Linked DNA regions of Canis lupus familiaris. The protein of the gene in region 1 purifies or fractionates together with the protein of each later gene. This does not show direct contact. Links are inferred from orthologs where the notes say so. Each region holds a gene or a part of one and is shown in the gene's direction. Other genes may lie near its edges. The genes, in order: CCT8, TLE2 and PDCL3.

What was found.
Region 2: the proteins of CCT8 (region 1) and TLE2 purify together in Homo sapiens (affinity purification with mass spectrometry; 3 studies listed by BioGRID and IntAct, with this or other methods). This does not show direct contact. The link is inferred for Canis lupus familiaris from reciprocal best matches to the Homo sapiens genes CCT8 and TLE2.
Region 3: the proteins of CCT8 (region 1) and PDCL3 purify together in Homo sapiens (affinity purification with mass spectrometry; 3 studies listed by BioGRID and IntAct, with this or other methods). This does not show direct contact. The link is inferred for Canis lupus familiaris from reciprocal best matches to the Homo sapiens genes CCT8 and PDCL3.

The regions. Positions count from the first base shown.
Region 1 is NC_049252.1:24,605,774-24,609,419, reverse strand, and holds part of CCT8 (T-complex protein 1 subunit theta), read left to right. Parts: intron 1-542; coding exon 543-622; intron 623-1,866; coding exon 1,867-2,016; intron 2,017-2,471; coding exon 2,472-2,652; intron 2,653-2,763; coding exon 2,764-2,825; intron 2,826-3,646. UniProt on the Homo sapiens protein: Component of the chaperonin-containing T-complex (TRiC), a molecular chaperone complex that assists the folding of actin, tubulin and other proteins upon ATP hydrolysis.
Region 2 is NC_049241.1:56,618,922-56,622,567, forward strand, and holds part of TLE2 (transducin-like enhancer protein 2), read left to right. Parts: intron 1-258; exon of another isoform or gene 259-405; intron 406-1,201; coding exon 1,202-1,340; intron 1,341-2,099; coding exon 2,100-2,260; intron 2,261-3,241; coding exon 3,242-3,318; intron 3,319-3,646.
Region 3 is NC_049231.1:43,274,046-43,278,279, reverse strand, and holds the start of PDCL3 (phosducin-like protein 3), read left to right. Parts: upstream 1-1,350; 5' UTR 1,351-1,475; coding exon 1,476-1,481; intron 1,482-3,570; coding exon 3,571-3,700; intron 3,701-4,234. UniProt on the Homo sapiens protein: Acts as a chaperone for the angiogenic VEGF receptor KDR/VEGFR2, increasing its abundance by inhibiting its ubiquitination and degradation.

The DNA.
Region 1 (3,646 bases):
ATACGTAAACTGGGACTTTTAGCCATCACACGGAAGTAATTTCATAGTTCATTTCCATCAGTGGAGTGTTAGCGGTTTTTAAGCAACAACTCAGATCTCTCTAGAAAAACAGGAATCAAAATATTACCTTTTTTTTCATATTGGTGCCTTGGAATGATACTTAATATAAGGGAGAAAGTTCTCTCTTCCCTACTACCATCAGCTGAATTTAATTGATACGCATATATGGAAAGCAGTAAAACTACTTTTAAGTAGATTATTTTGTTCTTTCTACATGTTAACATAATTTACATTTATTGAGCAAAAATAAGATGGACATCCTTCTTAGTAAATGTTAGGAGATTAGAAAGGATAGGAATAATATGTAGGTGCATTTAGGCTAATGTAGTTTTAAAGAGTAAGTAATATGTTTTGAATATTTACAAGGTTATTTTAAGAACTAGATACAAACTTCTGTTTCTTGACTAGGTTTTTGGGTTGTTTGGAGAAAGATTTGAGTGATAATGGATTCTTTGTTCTGCCTTTTTTTTTTTTTCTTTAAGGAATGAACAAAATGGTTATCAACCACCTAGAGAAGTTGTTTGTGACAAACGATGCAGCCACTATTTTAAGAGAACTAGAAGTAAGTTATTTCTTCGAAGCAAGAAATGTTTTGGTGATGTCAAAAATTAAGTATATATTAACATAGAAGAAACCTCTTAGGATAATGAGGCACTTTTCCCCCCTCAACTTGAATATTTATTATACAGATTTCCCTAATTATGGAGTCTTTAATTTTAACATCTTACCACTTAGATCTGAAAGCCTCCCAAGTTATTAATTTATGGAGAGATTGGTTGTGATAAAAGTACATTTGCTCATTATATCAAATTGAGTATGTTGTCTCGTTCTATAGAGTAGGACACTGAAGTGAATAATTCCATAATGCAGAAGTAGCTGATATTTAAGACAGTGGTTTAAAAAAAATACAAACTATTTCTTCGGCTTTGTGAAAATAGTTGGTGGCATTTTGCTTTGTTCACCTGCAGTTTTGATGTTAAAGAGTCTAGAACAGATAACTACTGGTAAGGTTGTGAGAAAGGTCTGGCACCTGAACATCTGAGAGCCATTCCTCATCTGACTGCTCTGTAGCTGAAAGATACTTTCAACTTCAAGGAATTTTCCTGAACTTAGCTCTTAAAGCATCAGAGCTTAATTTTTTCAAGTGAAACTGTAGATACATTAACATGTCTCTGATTATCTAAATAACAATGTATTTTTTTAAAATGTGAACAAATTTAATTCCACAAGATGTTTCTGGAAGGACTAGTCATTGTGAGTGTTAATGTTGGACACTGATGATCGGAGGTTATTCAGGGAATATGGGAATATTACTTTAATAAAACCATAGCAACAGGGTGCCTGGGTGGATCAGTTGGTTAAGCATACAGCTCTTGATTTCGGCTCGGTCATGGGATTGGGCTCCCAGCTCAGTGGGTTGTCTGCTTAGGATTCTGTCCCTCTCCCCCCACTCATGTATGCACACACATTCATGCTCTCTCTTTCAAATAAATCTTTATTTTTGCATATAATAAATTTCTGAACTTTATATGCAGAGATGTACGTAGTGGATGACTGACCATCAAAAAAAGATGCAGTTTTAGATTTTCATTTGTATTGATGCATCTGTGCTGATGATCATAGAGGGATTTGGATTGTTTTCTTGTGACCACACTACAATTAATATGTAGCATCGTGATTGAATGGAGTTACCTAGCCCACAGGGAGATTGGAGTCTGTTGATTTAAGAAGAAATGAATATGAAAAACTTCATGTTGCTTTAAGTATCAAATGTTTTGATATTTAAATTCAAATTCCTTCTACCAGGTACAGCATCCTGCTGCAAAAATGATTGTAATGGCCTCTCACATGCAAGAGCAAGAGGTTGGAGATGGCACCAACTTTGTCCTGGTATTTGCTGGAGCCCTTCTGGAACTAGCCGAAGAGCTTTTGAGAATTGGCCTGTCCGTTTCAGAGGCAAGTGTTCATTTTATAATGTACTCCTGTTTAACTTGTGCCTATTTATACAGGTGCTGTAGGAATCATCATTGTAGGAATAGTTAACGTTGAGCAGTTTACTCTGTGCCAGTTATTGTACATGTGCCTTATATGCAGTATCTTACTCTATCCTTACAAGAACCCCCTGAATATGGCCTATTAAAATTGTTTTATTTTGGATGAGGAAAGGGAAACAGAAAAATCTTACAATCTTGTAGCTAACAAGTGACATTAGCATTCAAATTCAGGCCATCATAAAAACCTGCATTCTTGATTAGTGGGCTGTGCCATGATTGCTGTTCTGAAAGTATACTTTCTCGTTTTATGTGGAAAACAAATACCCATATTCTTAGGGTTGCCAAAATAGTTTGTTTTTTTTTTAAGTCATGTCAAAGTTATGTCTTGAAAAAATATTTTTGCTGTTTCTATTTAAGGTCATAGAAGGTTATGAAATAGCCTGCAAAAAAGCCCATGAGATTCTTCCTGATTTAGTATGTTGTTCTGCTAAAAACCTTCGAGATGTTGATGAAGTGTCTACACTGCTTCACACCTCCATAATGAGTAAACAGTATGGTAATGAAGTGTTTCTGGCCAAGCTTATTGCTCAGGCATGTGGTGAGTATATCAGTAGATGAAAAGCTCCAAAATAAAAATGTCGTAATGAGACTTAAGATGTTTGCTCTGTTGTCCCAATATATTCTCTGATAGGTTTCATTTTCTTAACAGTGTCTATTTTTCCTGATTCCGGCCATTTCAATGTTGATAACATCAGAGTTTGTAAGATTTTGGTAAGTTGAGAAAATGCGTCAGTGTTGTCTAAATAGGTCAATTATATTTTACAAAAAGAAAAAATGTTGGTGTTCACCTAAACCTAGTTTACCCCAGGTTTTGAACATTTAGAACTTTGTGCCTTTTGAGGTATCATTTGTAACATTTTGATATTAGTTGGTTAAATTTTATTAAAGACTGTTGATCTGTTATCTCCTCATAAAGTCCTCATTGTTCCGTGACAACTTGAAGGTTGAGAGTAGTGTGTGAAGGAAATTATAAGTCTTGCATTCTTCATATGTGCTAAATTAAAACAAACTTAGAAGCCAGTTTTAAATGAGATAAAGTTCTGTTGCTCTACAATAATAGAATTCACATCTTAATGTTAGTATTGAAATAAGAGTATTTTTTTTTTAATGCTGTGTTTCGGGATGCCTAGGTGGCTCAGGGCGTGACCCTGGGGTCCTGGAATCAAGTCCCACATTGGGCTTCCCGCATGGAGCCTGCTTCTCTCTCTGTGTCTCTGCCTCTCCCTCTCTGTGTCTCATGAATAAATAAAATCTTTAAAAAAAATAAATAAAAATGCTGTGTTTCCTATAGCAAGACTTAAAATTGCAGTTGAGTTTAGCTTATGTAAACATACCTGCTGTGTGTATTTGTATAGATGTATAAATATACCTGCTGTATGTACTTCTATAGATGCTGTGCGTTTTCTGTCTCCATGTCGTGCTCCCTCCTCCCCCATAAATTGTAAGCTTGCAAGATCAGAAACTTTGCTTTGTTCTACCCCCCGTACTAACAGCTGTGCTTGCTGCTGTTGGTGAGGGAGTGAGTGGCTTAG
Region 2 (3,646 bases), on another chromosome or scaffold:
GACGGTTGCTTGCTTAAGTAGGGAGCCCCGGAAATAAGCCCAGTGACCATAGAATCCGGGCCCAGGGCTGACTCCCGCCCTGCAAGTGTTCCGGCCCCTGAGAGGCGCTGGAGGCGCAGCAGCCCCACCTGAGGTCCGGGCAGGAGGATTACTATGGGAACAACTTTCTCCGCGTAGGAAGCGCCCCGGCACCCACGCGGGGCTCCATCTGTCCCGCCCCCTCCCCCAAATCTTCCCGAGGCCCAGCCCGGCACTTACCCACTTACCGGGAGAGGGAGAGGGAGAGGGAGAGGCGGAGAGGGAGAGGCGCCGGTTTCTAGGCCTCCCCTCCCAGCAGGTTGCTATGGCGACGCAGAGGCTGGGGCTCACGTGGCATCTTCTGTGACCTCCTCCACTCCAGGAGGCCGAGGGGGAGGGGCGCCCGCGGCCTCCCTGTCCACGTGGTCCCCACCCACGGCCCTCGTGGGCGCCTGGGCTTGGGGCAGCGAGGCGGGCTTGGGGAGGCGAGGATGGGCGCGAGGTCGGCAAGGTTCCTGGCGGTCGGGGACCCTCAGCAGGAGGACAGGGCGAGGAGCTCCTCCCCAGGTCCGCTTCCCCCCTGCTCAGGTGTCCCCCCCTCCCTGAGAGACACTGCTCCCCAGAAGCAGGGCGGGCGGGCCCCTACTGGGTGCCAGTCCCTCGTCCTGGGTCCCTGTCCTCCTCCCCCGGTGCGGGTCCTCTGTCCTGGGTCCCCGTCCTCCATCCAGGAGCACACCCTGTGCTCTCCCGCCCCACACCCTGCCCCCTTCTGTCGCAGTGTGCCCTCTCCCTGCAGGTGTGCCCCTTGCTCAAGGCCAGTCTACACCCGCACTAGTGACCCTGTAACCCCTAGCCGTGTAACGCACTGCATGCCTTATCATACGCGTGCACGGTTCTGGCAGCAGGTGTGAGTGCCCCTCCCTGCGCCCGCTGTACCCCTGTGGGCGGGTGCTGTGCCCCTTCCTGCCCAGGCGCCCGCCTGCCGCTCCCAGTGTGCGGACCCTCGCGTGTCCCTGACACGGCAGAGGGGCACTAGCGGGGCGCTCCGTGGCACGCAGGCACATCCCGTGAGCCCCAGCCTAGCTCGCATACACCTGCTCCTTCCTCCCACCTGGTTTCTCACCAGAGTGTGGGCAGCAAGGTGCGGGGCACAGGGGTGTTCAGTCCTGACCTTTCTCCCCAGAACGACCTTCCTGCCAGCACCCCCGCCCCCAAGTCCTGCGACTCCTCCCCGCCCCAGGATGCGTCCACCCCCGGGCCCAGCTCAGCCAGTCACCTCCGCCAGCTTGCTGCCAAGCCAGCACCTTGCACCGACAGTGTTGGTGAGCGTGGGCTGGGGCCCGCCAGACCAGGTCTCTTCTCTGGGGGGTTCTAGAAGATGCTAGGGGTGGGGGAGGAGGGAGGCCAGAATCTGGCCCTGGCCTGGCCTTGGCCCTTTCCGGGACTCTGAGCCCAGTGCTGCCTCACTCTGGACCTCGGTCTCCTCAGGGTCTTGGCTTGACAGGTGGGGAGGCCGAGGCCCAGAGAGGCACTGGTTTACTCACGAGCTTTGGCCCTAGTGCACGGGCCGAGAGGCCTTGGGGTCAGACGGCCTGGGGTTTGAGGCCAGCCTCGGGTACTCATCAGCCCCGACTCTGGGCGAGCGACTCAAACTTCCTGAGCCTCAGATTCCCCATCGTTGACGTGGGGGTGACGGTGTTTTCCGTTTCTGTCCTGTGGCCTGGCCCTGGCTGGTTCTGGGGCCCCAGAAAGAATCAGCCCTGGGACCTGCCCTTGAGGAGCTCCCAGGCATGTGTGACCCGGGCTAGCATAGACAGAGGGAAGCAAAATGGGCGGGGGTGGGGGTGGGGAAGCTTGATGATGTTGCTGGACATCGGCCCAGGGTTTTGAAGGGTGAGTAGGAGCTCAGCAACTGAGGAAGGAAAGCCAGAGGGAAAGATTCTCAAACATCTGGAAATATGACACAGTGTGGTGGAGCCTGGACCAGGGCACAGCCACCCCCAGTGAGCGGTCAAGGCCGTGGAAGGCCGGGTCTGGGTCCGGGGGTGTCTGAAGACCTGTCTTTGTCCCTTCGTACTCAGCCCTGAGGAGCCCCCTGACACTGTCCAGTCCGTTCACCACATCCTTCAGCCTGAGCTCCCACAGCGCCCTTAACGGGGACCTCTCTGTGCCCAGCTCCTACGTCAGCCTCCACCTGTCCCCCCAGGTCAGCGGCTCTGTAGTGTATGGACGGTCCCCCATGGTGAGTGCTCGGTGTGGGGGCACCAGGTGCTATCGGCAGGATGCGGGGGGCAGGGGGCCGGGAGGAGAAACCAATCACATAAGGAGAGACAAGGAAATAGGGAAAAGGACGGGAACCCCTGCTTGGCAAGTACATATGCATGTGGGAGGGTGATCCAAGGGTCCCAGGGGCCCACAAGCTGAATACAAAGAAACAACAGTGAGTGTGCTGCACTGTTGGGAGCAGAGAGCCCCCGCCCCAGGGCTGAGGGTCCCCTTCAGACCCCTGGCAGAGGGCGTGCCATTGCTAGTCCTGTTTTCAGGGACTAATGATTCCAGCAGACTGCGGACGAAGGACTAGGCCGGGGAGAGGACGAGAAGTGGGGTCTCAGGAGGAGTGGGAGGAATGGGGCATGAGACCTGTGAGCTGGGGCGCAGGGGGCAGACCCCTGTGGGCCCCAGAGGACAGTATGGGGACAGATGGCTGAAGTGGACCAGGATGCCTCCAGAGGGAAGAAAATGCCGTCGTTGGGGACATCCCGGCCCCCAGGCTGGGTGGCACCTGGGAGGGATGTTGTAGAACGGAGCTCAGCAAGTATTTTCCGCAAGAAGCCAGACAGTAAATAGTTTTGACTTTGGAGACCGGGTTGTCTGTGTCACAGGTCGCAGCTACTCGCTTCTGCCTTCACAGCTCAGAGCCTCCACAGACAACATATAAATGAGTGGGTGTGGCTGTGTGCTAATAAAACTTTATTTACAAAAAGAAGCAGGGGGCCAGAGGTTGCCAACTCTGGGGTTCTAGGTTCCCTGGGCAGGGAGACTTTGGCGGGAGCCTCTGCTCTCCTATCTGCAGTATGGGTGGAGGACAGGGCTCCTCCTGGGGAGGGGCTGGTGAACCGGTGAGGGATCCTCTGATAAACAGAAACACGGCAGGTAGCCTGGGGGAGGGCAGAGGTGGCCTTCAGTCCCCTGCCCTGTGACGCCCCCTCTGGCATTTTGGCAGATGGCATTTGAGTGTCACCCGCATCTCCGAGGGTCGTCCATCACCTCCTCCCTGCCCACTATCCCTGGCGGAAAGCCGTGAGTATTGGCTCGGGGCTCCCGGCCTCCTGTCAGGTGCTTACCTTGTGGGGCGGGGGGCTGGGGTTCCCGGCTGCCTTTCCAGAAGGTCTCTTTGAGGGGCTCTGGAGAGAGGGGTTATGTAACAAGCAAGATGTAGACCATTGCTTTTCAATGGAGGGGCGCCGGGAGGGGGGTTTTGCCTTCCCCACCCCCACCCCAGGACGTTTGGCCTGTCTGGTGATATTTTGGGTTGCCACGCCCACATCCGGCCTCCCGTGGGTTGGGGCCAGCCATCCTGCTGCAGGCCCTGCAGCGCACAGACTGGCCCCGGCCCCAAGTACCCAGG
Region 3 (4,234 bases), on another chromosome or scaffold:
GACCCAAGAGTGCTGAATGGAATGATGGACAGGGGTCTTTAGGGAGGTGGGAGAGACTGTGACTTAGAGCAAGGTAAGAGTCTTCGACAAAAGTGGGAGACACACATTTCCACAGAGGAGGTTGTGCAGTTTGAGCCTTTGGCTTGTCAATCTCTGGAGAGAGGAATCACCAGGTGGGGATGAGTCCTGTTCTGAGGAAATAGGGCTGGGAGTGAAGAAAGGCTATAACAGCACCCACTTTATTGCTGTGGAAGGTTGCAAAGCTTAGCATAGGGCCAAACTCACCCCAAACTAGTCTGGTTCCTGATTTTGGTAGTAAGACAAGGGACAATGCATTCACAGTTTGCTGCAGATAAATAAATAAACAAATATTTCAGGAGACCTGTAATTCTGCGGTAAGGAGTTAGGTAAATATTAAGAATCCTTATAAATTATAAAAACCAAAGCTCCTTGCCTTCAAGGAATCATTTTATTTTCACTCTGTATCCCTGGTTTTGCATGTTAGCAGCAAAGACCTGAGGATCTTCAAGAAAATACCAGTTCCAGTCAACTCTTTTGACTGGGGATGGTGCCCCAGCATAACTGCAGTGTTTGAAAGCTCCCAGGGGGTCGACGTTGGGAGTCGTGAGCCCACTCCCAGATGTGCGGATGTGTATCTTCTGTGTTTGCTTCATTGCTGAGGCCGCACGTCAGCCCAGCTGTCCCAGGAGTGAGATTACTTTCTTAACTCAAATTCGGAGCGCTGTGTAGCCAGAAGCCTGGAGCCCAGCACCTGCATTTTTACAATTTAGATTCTTCTGGTTTACTCGGTGCCTCCTGTGTGCCTGGGCAGGGCCGAACACTTGCAAAGATGGGCCGCCTGAGGCTTAACCAGGTGAAATGACTTTCACCTTTTTGTCTGTCGTAATCACCGCCGTATCCGCAGAGCCTAGACTAGTGCCTGGTGCACATAGGCTCCTGGTAAGTATGTGTCTGAATTAACTGCCTTATCTGACGCTGAAACGATAAGCGAGTGAATTCCGGACGACCCTGCATCATTTTCAATTGTAACACTGGCGCACTGAAACACCTTTCTACTTCTGACTTCGGGAGCCGAGCCCTCCTTACAACGGTAGGGTCTGAGGCAGCAGACGACACCTCGCAACGAGCACCTCCTCCATCTGGCCCCACCTTTCCAAGGACCGAGGCCTGCCCTAATAAGGTAGCAAAGAGAAGGGGCTCCGGGTCACGTGACGCCAGCGGACCGCCCCCCCGCACTGACAGGACCCCATGCGCATGCGCACAGCTTCCGCGCCGGTTTCTAGAGCAGCGGGCGCAGGCGCAGACGTCTCGCTGACTCCCTGGCTCCGCCCTGCTCTCTGCTAGGGGGCGGGGCCAAGGCCGGGCTGGAAGGGGGGGGTGGCGGCTGGGCGCATGCGCAGAGAGCTGAGGGGCGGGGACACGGCTTCCGCCTGGCGTGACCAACTTTGGGCACCATGCAGGTAAAGAACCTGGGGGGCCGAGGCCTGGGGGGGCCGCAGCGCGTCTGCCCCGCTGGGTCCGTGGCAGCGGCAGACCGTCTGGGCTGGGACCGTGGGGAGCGCCGGGCGCCACCGGCGCAAGAAAGGTCACGCGAGCCTAGGCGGAGCGCAGGCGCAGGCGCAGTGCGGGAGGGCGGGCGTGGTCCCGCCGGGCGCCGCGGGCTGGCTACCCGCACCCCGTGGGCCTCGCCCCTAAATCTCAGGCTTTTGGGGCCGTCCCGTGGCGTGTGTGAACAGCTCGCCCATCCCACCTGACAGGGTTACTTCCTGTTTGTTAATTCTCTTCGCACCTGAGCAAGTGTGTCAGGGGCCCGTTGTGTGGATGTGGAAGCTGAGGCGGATGAGGGAACGGTCCCGCCTGGAGATCCCATGACGTAATCGGTGTCGCAGCCCGTGTCCCCGACCCCACCCGGAGCGGGAGCCGGAGCCGGAGCCGGGTGAGGGATCTGTCCCATCCTCTCCCTCCCTCGCGCTGGTGTGCAGGTTGAGGTGCGCTCCCCTCTCCGATTCCCCGGTTCCCAGCTCAGCCCTAGGTCCTTCTCAGTTACTGTCTGAAAATAGATAAAACCAAACCCCCTAGTTTTGTCCTCTTTTTTTTTTTTTTTTTCGTATCAGAAATTTTCTAATGGAATTGGACAAACTTACAGCGAAAGAAAATGAAGACATCATGGAAATTAGCAAAAGTTTCGGACTAAATGCTGCCCCTTGTCGAAGGACCCTTTGCCAGAGGTCATCCTGCTGCTTCCTAGACCTCACTGTAGTTAGGGATTCTGATGAAATCCTCGCTGGCTAAGTGGCACATGACAAATGGAGTTAGTGTGGGTTTGCTTGGGAGCTGGGCAGGATAAGCGTCTACAAATAGAGTGTGTCTACCAGAAGCCAGACACTCGGGAGTGGGGAAGAGAGAGCTCCAGGGCTGCCCTGGCCTCCTTGGCGTTCTCTGTCCCTTAGAACCCTGCGTTGAAATGTCATTTCTTGAGCGCCTTCCCTGACCACCCCGTTGAAAGGATTCTGTTCATTTTCTTTTGATAGATCTCAGCAAGACAGTGACGTGGAGTTGGGGCTGCAGCCTGGCTGTTTTAGTGCTCTCTCCACAGTGCTCTTGGAGTTCCTATGCCAGACCAGGTCCATTAGCAGTGTTCTAGCCAAGCCAGGCAAAACCAGTGTTTGACTCGCTAGTTTGGGGAGCTAGAGCCCACTTTGACATGTATCCTTCTGACATTTGATCCTGGTAAATTTGACTCGTCCCAGTATGACAGTGTCTTCCTAAATGTCACATCTTTTCCTAGGCTTGTGAGGATTTACTAAGTAGGTCCAGGTAAAGGGCTTCAGAGAGTGCCCAGCACCTGGTACTCAGTAGGCGTTAGCCATTGTGAGCTATTCCAAGGGGTCTCCGTTCTTCCTCTCAGGTTGAGCTGTTTGAGAATTTGTCAGCCTAGGATCAGGCTCTCCTCCTCCTGACTCTACTGGAGCCACTTAGAACTTTACGATACTCCTATCTCCATTCTTGGGCCCTTTGCACATGCTGGTTCCTCTGCCTGGAAAGTAATTTCTTAAGTTATCATTCCTCACGTCTGCTTCCTTCTCACTTTTCAGTGATGGTTAAATATCTACTTCTGAGACAATATCCCTACCCATTCTGTGGAATGCAGACCTCTTACAACTCTCTAGATCGACAGCTTGTTGATCATTACACTTGCCACAAGCATTTAGTATATGTTGAATGAATCACTCTGAAGCATTAATAAAAATATCAAATAGAAGCCAGGTTAGAGTCCTGGTGTGAGAATTGATACTGATTTGCACATCATATCCTGATTTTTACCAAAGGCTATTTACTGGGTGTGTGTCTTGCATGGTGAGGGTGAAATTGAATGAACAGGAAAAGAACAGGGCTGGTGGATCTTTTGACACTTTCTCAGAAATAGGCCACAGAATAATTTGGTTTGAATTCCTCTTCCCGCCACCTTTCCCATTCAACCCTTTCCCCAACATGGCACCCTTTGTAGTGTACTTTGCACTCATAGTATTTTTGGTCCACTTCCCCCAGGACCCTAATGCAGACACTGAGTGGAATGACATCTTACGCAAAAAGGGCATCTTGCCCTCAAAGGAAAGTTTGAAAGATTTGGAAAAGGAGGCAGAAGAAGAAGAACAGCGAGTCCTTCAGCAGTCAGTTGGTGAGATTGCTTATATTCTTTATTTGTTCTGTCTGTGGATTAAGAAACAACTTTTTAAGCCTCTAACTGCTTTGGTAGAAGGATGTTCTGAGCAGGAATTGGGAACCAGGGATTGGAGTGCTGGGATAGACACTATTTCTGGGACCTTAAGTGTGTCACAGGCTGTCCTCTAACCTTCAACTTCCTGAGCTGTAGAATTTCCACATTTCCACAGCTTCTTGTCTGTATCAGATGAGCACCTGATAATCCTGAAGAAAATATTTCTGAGTCTTGACTTAATGCCCCATTGATCACAGGGGCCAATACTTTTGTCTTCTTCCATGTTAGAGCTAATTTAGAGATGAATTCACTAGAAAGCATTTATCCAGTGAATGTTTATTGAATAATGACTGTCTACCAGGTGTTATTCTAAGCACTGGGGCTCTTGCTGTATACAGACCAGACAAAACATCCCTGTTCTTATGGGGCTTACATTCTAGTGAGAGAGACAGACAATAAACAAGACATAAGTAAATATGGGAAAATAAGGCAGGG